3 linked regions of the Drosophila melanogaster genome follow. The protein of the gene in region 1 purifies or fractionates together with the protein of each later gene. This does not show direct contact. Each region holds a gene or a part of one and is shown on either strand. Other genes may lie near its edges.

Region 1 (3,952 bases):
TGGCCAAAAGGTCACGGTCCACTACACCGGCACCCTGGACGATGGCACCAAGGTGAGTACGAATCCCGATCCTCGCCATCCCCAGCTAATGATCCGCCTTGAATTCCACGCAGTTCGATTCGTCGCGCGACCGCAACAAGCCATTCAAGTTCACCATCGGCAAGGGCGAGGTCATCCGTGGCTGGGATGAGGGAGTTGCCCAGTTGAGCGTCGGCCAGCGCGCCAAGCTGATTTGCTCGCCGGACTATGCCTACGGTAGCCGTGGCCACCCCGGCGTCATTCCGCCCAACTCCACCCTCACCTTCGACGTCGAGCTGCTCAAGGTCGAATAGGCGCACAGGATGCCCAATGTGTATACCCCAAACCAAATCGCAGGGGGTTGCGGACCGGCGCACCGGCGACGAGCCGAAGAACATCATAATCGGAACCAGAACAATCCAGCAGCATTTGCCAACCCAAAATAATAATGATAACTTCATACACAGCTCTAAACTAGAACTAATTTAACCGCAAAGGGAACGCATCTTCTACCAATACAAATAAACATTTATTCAAGTCAATGACAAATGTCTTTCTTATCAAAAATCTTGGGATAATCCAATCAAATCAGCTGCGGTTGCCTTTCCGTGCTGCAATACAAATGCATTTCATATTATTTTTTAATCAGGAAAATATGCAAATATAAAAACGCTTTATCATTCTCTTGATAGACTTGAAGTGGTCTACTTGACAAATTTGATTTTATTTTATATAAGTATATAAAGTGTACAAGCATCTTATTTGCATATATATTCGATTTGGAAACAGGATTTTTTTTAATTCTTTGTGCACAATTAATCCAAATTATTTTTCATTTTCTATACCACTTCCAAAATCACCTAGATACGCTTCAGTTTTTGCAGACCAAGCTCATAATCTTGTCAATAACTTCATATCGCTCCTTTTCATACTTCTTGATATGCTTTATCCAGTGTCCGCGCACTTTCTTCCAGCGGTTCATATTGGAGGACAGAAGATCGGAGGTACTGGCACCTTGGAGAGCCTTTTCCCGCTTCTTGTCCTCCTGGCTGAACTCCAGACGAGGCGGAATTATGGGCAGATCCGTGGACTTGGCCTGCGGGAGCTGGTTGATCACCTTTATCTCGCCGCTTTTAATTTGGGACAGGATTTCTTCGCCGTTGTCCTCACGTTTGGTGGCCGTGAGTGAAGCATCTGTTTGAAATGCACCCACAGCTGGATTCTTGGGTTGATTTGCCATCCATGCGCGGCATATGGGGTACAAAGGAGTCTTATCCTGGTATTTGGACAGGTCCAAACTTCGCTCAAACAGGCGCATTACGTAGGTCTCGCCGGGCGCCTTCTGGGCGACTGCCGCTGCTCCAACGCTCTTCTTGTAGAGCACTCTCCTGGCCTTGATGCGTCCTCCGGCGCCGGCTGCGGCTGCACTCGAGGATGTCGAAGGCTTCTCGCTAGAGCCCGACGTGACCGTCTTGACTTTCGGATCTAGCTTTACCTGGTACTGACGCTGCTGTTGCTGCTGGATGAGCAGCTTCTTCGAGGGACGGCCCCGAATGGGCAAATCCGACTCTGCGTCGTCGTCCGGCGGCAGGTTTGTCGTCTCTGGTTTCTGCTCCTCACGGCGCGACTCCCGCAAGCGCAGGGCCGTTTCCTTCTTTTTCGGCACAGTCTTCATTTCCAGAAATCTTGTATTCGACACGAAAATTAAGGGAAAACAATTTCGAATGCCGAATCGGAAATCAAACGGACTTACGGCGCTTCACAACACTGAAACACCACTTCGCCACGCAACACTACATAAGTCAGTGGTATTTCAAAAAATACCATAAATTAAAGAAAACAAACGGTCTTGGCGCCTAACGCTAGCTTGAGAAATAATTCTTTGAATTATTTGTAGCTTAAATGAAAAGAAAAAAGAATAACATATATATTTTTAAACAAAAACTTAATACACATTAATATTTGACTATTCAAAAATATTTAATAGACTTTGATTGTTAAATTAATACTTTTGTAGATTAAAAAAAAAAAAACAAGGAAATGAAAGTCTTAAAAATTTGGTATTTCTCGATTTGGTAATTTTAACCCAAAACCTTTCGGGCTTTTCAACCCACCTTTTATGGTCACACTGCTGTTTTGTGATCGCGAAAAGAGCGACGTGAAAAATACATTTAATTAAGTTTACTGCGAAAAATAAAATAAATAACTAAATTAAAACAAAGCGGAGCTTTTGCGTGAACTGTGTGTGTAGTTGTGAGTGTGTGAGAAAAGAAAAACGAAAACAAAGCCAACGAGGAAATCGAAGGGGCAAAAGTGGAAAAGATTCAGATTGAAAAGCACCAAAATATCGAAATCACAATTTGAATGTCAAAGAACAAACGACAAAAAGAGCGGAGCAACAAAGGAACATTGGAAAAGTCAAGAATTTAACTTATTCGGTAAGGATGCAAATTGTAAATCTGTGGATTTTGCTTCTTCTGCTCACGCACACATCCACATACAATTGGGAAGTGCACAGGTGTGGGTGGATCTGCTCTGTGTGCAAATAACAAATTGTGAAAAACAACTCGCACACATGCAGATCACCTAGTGCACCAAATAAAAGCAATAAATAAACACATTTCCAAACGGGCAACAAGTTGTGAATGCGTTTTTTAAGGGGGAGGGGCCATACCAAGTTTCCCAACGTTTCACATTTTCAATCGATCTCGGTTGTTTTTATATATGTATGGATATTTTTTATCTACTATTGCGTAGCTGCCAATGTCACCTGTTTTTTGCTCTCTCTCTCTCTCTCTCTTGCGCTCTCTCCCTCCCTCTCGCTCGCACCCACGCTGGCTGTAGCTGGTTTTTATCTTGTGCCGTTAACACAGCCATTACGTGTCTCTTTCGCACTCGCACTGCACATTGGTGTTCGTGTGTCTGTGCAAGACTGCACGTAACTGTATTACCCATTCGTACATGCGTATACGTATTTCCGCCTATTGATAACGGCTGAAACTCCCTCGAAATGGCCGTCTTTTCGAAATATGTAAACGAATCGTTCGGGTACATCCCCCGACCACCACCCACCCACCGCCCACTCAACCCCCTCCAAGCGCTTCTAATCGCAAAGTGCAAATATTGATTTGCTATGTGTGCTTTTAGATTTTCTCCCACTATCAATAACAATAAGCGCTCTCTGTACGTTGTTTTTGCTTCGGTTTGGTTTCGTATTAAGAAAACAAGTTCACAAGTTTTTGCACTTGTTATGCACTGTAAGAAAAACGCAAGTTTTATTCAAGAGCTCCGCATTACCGCATTATATTGCCAATTGTGAAACTTTTATAATATTTATACTAGCAGCTTAGTTTTGTAACTTTCGGAAATAAAAAGTTTTGGTAAAACAAACAAGAAACATTTTATTTATTTTTTTAAGTGTTGATCATTGTTGCTGTTTCGTTTTGTGACTTTGTTTATGTGGCGGTTTTCTTGTAATTGCGGGAATTTCCCGGCATTTCAGCAGTTGAGAGTGCAAATATAAAGCAGAGAGAGAAACCCTCATCTGTTTGTGATTATCTGAATTCTTCTTCCGTATTTAAGCGTTAACTCTGCTTTTGAGCGACAAGGCTGTTAAATATTTTCAGCTATAACACCAAAATTACCCTTTATCTCGCAATATATTAATAAATACAAGTCTCCAAAAGACGTCATAAATTAAAACGCGATTTAAATGACGTTTAAAGCGACTTCTAATTTATGTATGTTTATCACGAACTAAAAATTTAATTACTTTATAAATTTTAAATTCTCAAGATAGTGAGCAACTATGTATGTTTTAAAGAAAAAATTGTTGGAGTTCCACAAAATTTCGTTTGAAAAATTGAGTTTTTATGTACCAAATATGCAAATCAAATGAAACTTAAAAGCTGACTTAGAAATCCTTTTGTTTATA
Region 2 (4,393 bases), on another chromosome or scaffold:
TCTAAAAACTTTAACCTTTTAAGATCGCAAATAGACTCATTTATTGTAATAAATAAAGTCAATGGCCTCTGAACGTTCAAACAAGTACATATTGCGAAGTGCTACCTATTATCATCAATTAACCTTTAGCTTCTTTGTGTGCCATTCACTTTATAAGAAGGTTATATTTCAAAAGAAACCATTGACGCGGGTTTCCAAAGTTTGTTGGTATGACGTTTCGTTCAACTTTTGTTAAGTGCAAGTTCCTCGATTTCCGACCTTTTTGCAATCGTTTGCAATCGATAATGCGCACCACGATAAGATCCTGTAAAGTGCCTTTTAACATTTCGAAAACCGAAGATTCCGAATTTCCAACGTAATGCCGATTATTTAGTGGGTTTTAGCCTTCTAAAGTGCATGTACCCGTGGTTATATTTAAGTTAAGACCTTGTCGAGTGCACTCTGAGTTTTTCTTTTTTGTTTTTTTTTTTTTTGTGGCTGGGGGATGTGAAGGGAAGGGAAAGGAAATCAATCGGAACGCAAATAAACAATCGAAATTTCGGGCGCGTGCTATCTGCCGAGCGTCCGGGTTTTTTCGACTACGTAACAACGGGCGGGCTGCAGTGGAAAATTTTCTAGCTGGGTCGCCCGCCTGCTGCGCACTTTCACCTCCCCCGCCCCGCCCCCCCACAAACACTACATGGAAAAGAAACGGAAGAAACGCCAACGGATTGGTGATTGGCAGAGGGGGCAGTGAGGCTGTCTGCCTTGGCTTGGTTAACAAAGCTCACCTTTCTGATCGCCTTGGAATCGCCGGCTCTGGTGGGAATCAACGTGTTGTCCAGGTCAAAGTAAAAGGCCCTGATTTTCGCACATGTCGCATCGAAATGTGAATGTGTGGCTGTCAATTGCTTGCCGCAATGGAATTTGCTAGCTGCCATGAGAGTCGTCGAGCGGAGGGGGGGATGGAGGGTCAGCGAGGGGTCACTGTCAGGAGTGGAGGGGTGGTAGCCGGTTGCTTGGTTAGATGGATGGATGCAAACGTAGAGATCCAAGAACAACTTTGGTGCAATTCAATCCGCCAGCGGATTTGCGCTTTGAAATTGGCGCCAAACGAAACGAAACGAAATGTACGAGCTGCACGACTGCAGCAGCACTGCAGTATTTTTCTATTTTCCTCGAGCGGACTGGCAAAAGTTTCCGCTTCTCGCGCGGCGAAGTTAAAACGGCAACTGAATGACAGCGACAAAAAAAATAATGAAACGGAACGGGAGCGGTCGCAGTAATGTCGAGAGACGGGGTAGCGGGGCGGCGGAACAGGTGAGCGCGTGTGTATGAGTGCTTGTTGACTGAGTGAGAGCGGAGCAGCGAATGAAAAACCGAAAGAAAGTGCGAGGGCGCATGGGAAAACAGTGGTGGCCAAAAGTCTGCGTATGCGAACAGTGCTACCAGGCGGCGGCGCCAATTGATAAAAACTTGATAAGATATTGTTATTCCTTAAGATTTTATATTATTATTAAGATGTTCTTGAATAAGTTTATTTCAATAACTGGTTAGACATCCGTGTTGTGTTGTTCTGGACAACTACTGCGCAGCACATGTGCTTTTTACGGGCACATATTTTTTGGCGCCACTGTGCGAAGTGTGCCAAGTGCCGTTTGCGCGCCAGAGCGAACGAGAGCAGGCGACCTAGCGCAGAGTTGTCTCTATGCGCCGTTAAACGACCGTGAGTGGAAAAGAGAGCACGATAGAGGTCGCGGAGAGGTTCGCGTTTCTCTGCTACGACGCCTGCTCTCCACTCTGAATTTAGTATAAGTCGAGGCACGCTCATTTCCTAATTGTTGTGCCATTTATTTTTAACTTCTATTAATAAAACCAGGAAAAGCAATAACAACAGTTCTTTGTTTACCAAAAATATCAGTTGTTTTATACTTCCTGGTGCTTTCTAGCACTGGCTTGGCGGTAAATCGATAGTATTCGATAGTGATTGTTGAAAGTGGCAACGCTATAGTTTTTGTTTAACGAGGTGGCAAGTGATTAGCCCACGGATTTTTTGGCATCTTTCCGTGTTTATTTTCAATAGTTTTTGGAGTTTTTCAACATTATCCGCGATGAGCAACGCAGAGACAACTACGGATTTGCTTTCTACAGGTGAGTAAATATTTAAATCACATGAAAGGCGCCATAAAACGAGGTTTTCTTGCAGAAACCATTCTAAAAGCGGCGGACGAGGAAGTGGAGAAGGCTTCAGCGTCCAGCAGTAGTACGTTATTGGCCGAAAAGGATGTCCCGGAGGTCAAGGAGCGGCCCATAACGCCGGAAGACGAGCTCATCTCCATGGAAACTCTGCGACCCTCACCTGTCCAATGGCCAGAGCGTTGTAAGTGTAGAAAACGTGAGCACGAAGAAATTGGCGCCATTTTTAACGCATATCTTTATTTTCGATTGCTCCAGTTCCCGGAATGGACGAGTTCCTCTCCATGAGCGACACGCCGATGTACACGCGCAGCACCAACTACACCAGCAATCTGACCGATGATGATATGGTTAAGATTAATGGTAAGTAGCTGCAAAGTCAATGAGATTTAAGAATAGTATATTAAAGAATAGCATATCCATTACCTACTTTTCTATTCCAGAACTAGCCCAGCTCCCTCCCGAGGATCTGATCGATAAAATAAAGTCAATGCATGATGAAATTTACCAGCTGGGACTGCGTGAGGCAATGGAGATGACTCGTGGGAAACTGCTGGGCATCTTTGACCGGGATCGCGCTCCTAAGCGGCAGCCATGAGGCTGGATGATCCGATCCCTAAGAATGGGACTGTCGAGGATCTCGTTGAATTCGCATTAGGAACATAGGTGTAGTTTCATAGTGTACATAGTGCTATTTTTATAGTGAGTAATGCGTGTTGTGAATGATTTATCGCTATTTTACAAAGATAAATAGGCAGGCGTTTGAACAGTAACTAACGTTTATTTCCATTAAAGCATTTTGGGTCCTACACGTCGCTTGTATTACAGATACATTTGAGGAGTCGGAGGAGAGATGAAGTTGACGGATTGGAGGGAAAGGAATGCAGAAGGATCTGGAGTTTTTGGAGAAGGCACAGTAGATTTCGCTATGCAGGGACATTAACGCAACAAATAACTCTGTCTATGTGGGATTGGATGGATCGGTTGCGCTCTAGTGCGTCCTATTAATACTTAACTAAATGCTTTCGTTCGGATTTATGCAGTAGCCTTCCCCACGATCCATCCCAATTTGGGAAAGTGTGTTGGTGCTGATGGTGTGCTTACATGCTGTTTCCCGTGAATATATATCCAGTAACGTGCATCAATTCCCATTACTCCTGCCACTGCATTCCGAATCGCTGCTCAAAGGTGATCCGGTTAAAGACGCCCGCATCGGCCAGCTGCAAGGGATCGGTGTAGTACGCAAAACGCCGTATATCCAGCATGGCCAGGTCGAACATTTGCTTCCAGCTGGTCAAATCTGTAACGCTCATGTGGATCGGCAGCTGGGGATCCGGTATATCGATGGCCGCCTGCAGACGGTCAAACGCCTCGGCAATTGGTCCCACCGATAGATTAACCCAGTACTCCGCTGGAAAGCGCTTGTTCTCACAAAACGGCGCTCCCTTGCGCATGATGAAGACCAGCATGAGTATCTCATAGCGCTCGGAGCTCTCATAGAAGCGCTTGGTTCGGGTCTTCTCCACGAAATCGATGAGAAGGATCAGGGGAGTGTAGTTCTGGAGGTGCATCAACAGCTCCCGGTCGGTCCAAAGGTAACGGCCGCCTTTGACGGTCAGCAGGCTCATGTTGCTGGCGAGTTGTTGATGCTGCTGCTGCTGCTGTTGCTGCTGCAGCTGGTGGTGTTGCTGCTGCTGAAGGTGTTGCTGTTGCTGCTGCTGATGTTGGTGTTGCTGCTGCTGTTGCTGCTGGTGTTGCTGGTGCTGCTGCTGCTGGTGTTGCTGCTGCTGGTGCTGCTGGTGTTGCTGCTGCTGATGCTGCTGGTGAATGCCGCCGGCGGATGGGGCTGGAGTTCCGGTGTTGGATGCCACCTGGCTGGGCATGGCGACCACAATGCCCGTCTGTCTCTGGCAGCCAATCTCCTCCACCATGTGCGCTGCAATGACGACAAAATGCATTTAAGGCAAGTGCCTAAACCAGGCCAAGGTCGCTGCGTTGGCCAAACACCCAGCCACCCCCTGCCCGCCCTCATTATTACTTGTTGCAAATAGCGAGCAGCGAAGAGCGAACGTGCAGCAAGTCAAAGGCTATGGCAATTGCAATTGCAATCAACTTACTGCGTGCCCCAATCAAAGCGGCAGAAATTATGTGTGTATTTATGAGGCGGATGGATCAGCGGGTCTGGATTTGGATCGGGGTACGAATGTGGCCCCCAAGA
Region 3 (5,329 bases), on another chromosome or scaffold:
TGATGAAGTCGCCGCCCTGCCAACGTTCCCTTGCGGGAGCAATTACGGAGCAGAGTACAGTGAAGTCGCCGGCATCGTAGATCTGCCAGTATTTGGTACAAACTAAGAGCACTGTGCGCTGGTTCTGGGCGCAGCAATTCATGGTGATGGCATTCAGGCAGCGGATCTCCTTGGATTCGTTCTCGTAAATGGGCTCCGCGTGTTTGTTCTCGTTACCCGTCAGAGTCCAGACCTTCACGGTTCCGGTGGTGGTGATGGCCAACACTACGTCATCCTTGCGACGCATGGGGCGCAGTACGTGAATAGCGGATATCCAATCCGGTTTGACCTTTGAGCTGAGCACGTAGATCACCTCTAGGCTGAACGGATCCATGACCATGATTTCAGCATAGTAGCCAATGCAAAAGAGGCGCACATCCTCGCTGTTGGCGGTGTGGTAGCTCTGAATTTGGGTGTGCACCTGTGGAAGCTTGACCGCCTCCATGCACTTGCCGTCCGTAAGATCCCAGGTGCACATCTCTCCGTTCTCAGACGAGCTGACCAGGAAGTTGTTCTCCGGCAGAAGCGAGGCACGCACTAAGCACAAAACGGGCGCCGAATGGCCCACCAAGAGGCACCGCGGCGACATCTTCAGGGTGGTGGGCTCCACTTGCCAAAGGCAGATCTGTCCATCGTAGCAGCCGGTGACCAGGGTAAACTGATCGTCCGAGAGGAACACGCTAGAGATGCAGTGCGTGGGCGCGGTGGGACCCCACAGCACCACGGGTACCACCAGATTGGTACTCACCATGGTGGTGCGCTTTACCCAATCTGTGCGGTGGCTCTCCTTCTTCTCCTCCTCCGCCGGCTTCCTTCTGCTCCCTGCTCGTGTCGCTGGTAATCGTTGCTTTGCTGCGACTGCGGGCTCTGCAAGAATAGTTATTGAGTAAACATTTGCTCACTTCCACCTAGTGGATGCGAATTATTTATGGTGGCCCCTGTGTGTGTATGAACTCCAGTTGTGGTCGGCTTTGAGTGCGTGGATGGTGCAGTGAAAGCTGCTAGTCAGTGACTCACCCAAGGTCCTTCGAATTCTGTGATTTCTCATCATCATTTTATTCAACCTGCTTTCCTAGCAGCTAATAGTGCTCTACAACCCACAGCTGTACGATGTAAATTGAAAACTGAATTTATATGGCGTTCTTAATGGAAAAGATGAATGGCAAAAGGGGTAATGTTGCCTAACGTTTTATAAACAAGCTCAGTTTCTCATTTCCTGTTGAATGTTTAAACAGACTTCGGGAATAAGCGAAATCGAACTAAGCAAAGTTTACATTTACAGCTTATGCAATTTGTAAACAATATAAGAACAATTAAAGGAACAAAGTGCAGCCACATTGTCGAGACTTTTCATATGCTTAACTGACGATTTTTGGGCCACTTACAGGAGAAGCATAACAAATTGGGTTGTAAATTCAAAAGTATTTATAGAGATCCATCTTAAATCTTTACCTAGAGTATGTGATAAGATAAGAACTTCCTATTTTTATGGATAGATTATTTGGTATAGCTACAGTCTTGGGTCTTGCGAGCTGGTTCTCTGGTCTGATAGTGATTTCTGTGTGTTATAGTTGTATCAATCAGGAATATGACTTTATCGTGTTAGAGAGTTCTTCACAGGGCTTTCCCCTCCTAGCTTGCAGGTGAATTTGTCAGTCGGAGTGACCTGCAAAGCTCTTCAGATAAGACCGCATTACAGGGGACACTCGTTCCAGCACACGCCACCTTATCGGCACATGTGTCCAACTTGGCCAGCCTCCACTGTACTCCACTCCACCTCGGATTGTCCAAAGATAAACAAGGGTTATACAATACATATGTGCGGCAAAAGCAGAGACTCAATCCGCGGATATATATCGGGTTTCGTGCGGAGCTGGGTATATGGGAGGGCGCCTGATGTCGCCAATTGAAAGATCAATTAATTGGCCGACTATTTGGCATCGCAATTTGAGCGGATTTTGCTTCTGCTATCGCACACAAACACACACACCCTCACACCTGGACACGCACACAGGGACAAGCCATAATAATTGTAGATAACTGGGCATTTATCTAACATTTTTCAGCAGTTTTCCGTATTGGGCTGGCTGCCGCGCGTGATTCCTCCGCTATGGATTCCGATTCCGATGCCAATTCCAATTCCAATTCCGAATCCGAGTTCGATTCCGAGTCAGCCTGCTCTCGATATGGAGAACTTAATGATGGTCCGCTACTGGTGGTGACGCTGCTTATTGATCCTGGTCGACGGACATCGCGGTGGCGGAGCAGCGGACTTCAATGTCGATTTCGATTCGATTTGATTCTAATTTATGGACACGGGACGGGCGAAACGCACACCACCCCCCGAGCACACCAACACACCAACACCTTTCCGCTGTACAGATTGCTTACAACACACACACGTTGCGTTGCTGTTGCTACTTTGTTATTGCTTTTGCTCGCCACTTTTGCGAACTGCTCATATTTGTTGCACACACTTTCCGCTGGAACATGCACTCCACGGGATCAAAACACTGCACTGTACTTTCGATTTACTTAGCTATTTCCTTTTTTTTTACACGAGTGTGAAAAAAAAGCAACGAAAATCGACCGTGGAGTAAAATTTTTCGATAGATTTGCGTGAGCGGATAGGGTTGCAACCGCAGCTCCGGACGCTCTTCTATCGATGCCATGCGAGGGGCGACAGCCCTGACCAAAAAATTTAATATTTTTCTTTAATTGTTTATAAATATGCAAACAACTGGGTGGAAACACGATTTCCAGATCCCAAATGGCACACGCTTATATCTACGGTCAACGGGATGGTTTCAATGTGGTTTCTGGTCAGCCAGAGGCAATCCCGCATGTATAGACCCACAATGTTGTTACTTTTCGCCCAACGGACAATTAAGCATACGCGATTGCATTTAAACGATCGCCTTACGCGGAGTACAAAAGGCACACGGGCCGTGATGCAGTTACTCCGCGAGGTTATAGTCGACCCTCTTTCTGAGTTTTTTTTACGCGGAGAATGATTCAAAACCGAAACACATCGCTGCCCATCGCCAGAACTGCAATTCGCAGTCGGAAGCGTAACAAAGGCTGCGGATTTCTTGGTCAGCTCATCCGGAGGATGTCCGGGTGTGAAACGGGTGCAGAGGGCAGTTACTTACCATAGGGTACAGTTGCTTCTATTGGAGGCGGTCGTTTCGCTGAATATTTTGAATTTAAATCACTTTTTACCCGTACGAACACACACTTTTGAATGGCCACAAAAAAAACTGGTATGTGCTGCCAACTCGACGCGAATAAAAGTATAAAGGAACGTGTGCCGCGCAAAGCAGTGACAAACAATCGGTATATTTGTCATCACAAACTTTTTGAATTCTTAAAGAAATTGCCATTTAATTTTTCCAACCCGACTTTAATATTGCCGCGCTGATTTTACGGCTATTCTGAGCTGTTGTATTCCTTTAACAAGCAATGACCACCATGCAAATTCGATCTGACCACCCTTTCGATAGTTATTCGATCAGCAACAGCTGATTGCACCCTACGGAATGACATATCCTATTGCTAGGGATTTTGTTGGGTAAAATTAACGTACTTCAGAATTGGCGGAGAATACAGTGTTTGCTAGCCTATAGTGTTTGGTTGTTACCTTAAAAAAGCTCTTTGGCTTGTGTTCTTTCCCCCGTTTGCTACTCTAAGCGCTCTATAAAAAAACACTCACCGAACGGAATTAGTAGGGCATTCGGCGGTCGATGCCACCGCCGAATCAGCCCTTGTTGTGATTTTGCGTCAACGTAGCCGCATTTGACTTCCACACATCCCACATCCACGCTGGCTATGGAACACTGACCATGCCCATAATTGAATTAGCGGCCCTGATTGATTGACTGTCCCACGATGCAGCAAAAACCCCGAAACAACGGCTATCCGGGCACCCTCATCTGCGCGGTCCTCCTCGTCCTGCTGTCCACCGGTGTCAGCGGCCAGAAGCAGTATTCCAAGGCAAGAAAGTTGGAACTGAGGTGGGTCATTGCTAGGGCTAAACTCGGACATACTAATCCTAACCGGCAATGAATCTGCAGGGAGGATGTGCGGCGCATGTTCCAGCACGCCTACGATGGTTACCTGCGCCACGCCTCCAACTACGATGAACTGCGTCCGCTGACCTGCGATGGCCACGACACCTGGGGCAGCTACTCCTTGACACTGATCGACGCTCTGGACACGCTGGCCACCATGGGCAACTTCACGGAATTCCGCCGCGCGGCAAGACTGCTCGAGGAGAAGATGGATTTTGACAGGGACATCAACGTGTCCGTGTTCGAGACAAACATCCGCATCGTGGGCGGGCTGCTGTCCGCGCATCTGCTCTCCAAGCGTGCTGGCGTAGAGCTAGAGCCAGGATGGCCCTGCAAGGGACCTCTGCTGCGACTGGCGGAGGATGTGGCCCGACGATTATTGCCAGCCTTCGTCACGAACACGGGTATGCCTTATGGCACGGTGAACCTGCGCTATGGCGTGCCCAAGGGCGAGACCTCTATAACCTGTACGGCGGGCGTGGGGACATTCCTCATCGAATTTGGTACCCTTAGCCGGTTGACCGGGAAAACCATCTACGAGGATGTTGCTATGAAGGCGGTACATGCTCTATGGGCATATCGCTCGCCCATTGGACTTTTTGGCAATCACATCGACGTGCAGAGCGGTCGTTGGACCGCCCTCGACTCTGGTATCGGAGCAGGAGTGGATTCCCTTTTTGAATACCTAGTTAAGGCATCTGTCCTGCTCAATCGCCCAGAACTCTTGGAGTTATTCCATGAGGCTCGCGCGGCCATTGATAAGTACATGCGGAAGGAGGACTGGTACGTGTGGGTAGGCATGAACAAAGGCCGCGTCACCCTTCCCGTCTTTCAGTCCCTGGAGGCGTTTTGGCCCGGCATCCTGAGCATTATTGGCGACACGGAGCCGGCCTTGCGCACCATATCACGGTACATTGGGGTCTGGAAGAAGTACGGCTTTCTGCCAGAGTTTTATAACATTGCTGCTGGAGAGGCATCGCCGAATCGGGAGGTGTACCCCCTGCGACCGGAGCTAATCGAGTCAGCTATGTATCTCTATCGAGCCACAGGAAACGAGTATCTTCTGGAGTTTGGTGAGCACATGCTGGAGACCTTGGAGTTCAGTGCCAAAACCAAATGCGGATATGCAACGGTGAGAAGTTCTGTGAACAAGCTTTTTAAGAACTTAAAATTAATTAATATATACTTGCATTATTTTCCAGATTCGCAATGTTGTCACC

Evidence for each region. The genes of interacting proteins can lie anywhere in the genome.
Region 2: the proteins of mip40 (region 1) and lin-52 purify together in Drosophila melanogaster (affinity purification with western blotting; 2 studies listed by BioGRID, with this or other methods). This does not show direct contact.
Region 3: the proteins of mip40 (region 1) and mip130 purify together in Drosophila melanogaster (affinity purification with western blotting; 3 studies listed by BioGRID, with this or other methods). This does not show direct contact.

What each region holds. Positions count from the first base shown.
Region 1 is NT_033778.4:19,290,405-19,294,356, forward strand, and holds mip40 (Myb-interacting protein 40), read right to left. Parts: upstream 1,793-3,952; 5' UTR 1,694-1,792; coding exon 890-1,693; 3' UTR 701-889; downstream 1-700. Other genes in the region: Fkbp12 (FK506-binding protein 12kD), read left to right, coding at 1-52, 114-332.
Region 2 is NC_004354.4:5,752,582-5,756,974, reverse strand, and holds lin-52 (lin-52), read left to right. Parts: upstream 1-2,016; 5' UTR 2,017-2,090; coding exon 2,091-2,130; intron 2,131-2,185; coding exon 2,186-2,359; intron 2,360-2,433; coding exon 2,434-2,538; intron 2,539-2,618; coding exon 2,619-2,773; 3' UTR 2,774-3,326; downstream 3,327-4,393. Other genes in the region: CG15771 (uncharacterized protein), read right to left, coding at 771-920; CG15772 (uncharacterized protein), read right to left, coding at 3,327-4,106.
Region 3 is NC_004354.4:1,906,218-1,911,546, reverse strand, and holds the start of mip130 (Myb-interacting protein 130), read right to left. Parts: upstream 3,309-5,329; 5' UTR 3,195-3,308; coding exon 3,192-3,194; exon of another isoform or gene 2,720-3,191; intron 2,628-2,719; exon of another isoform or gene 2,097-2,627; intron 907-2,096; exon of another isoform or gene 791-906; coding exon of another isoform or gene 1-790. Other genes in the region: Rbcn-3B (Rabconnectin-3B), read right to left, coding at 1-790; Edem1 (ER degradation enhancer, mannosidase alpha-like 1), read left to right, coding at 3,928-4,052, 4,113-5,241, 5,312-5,329.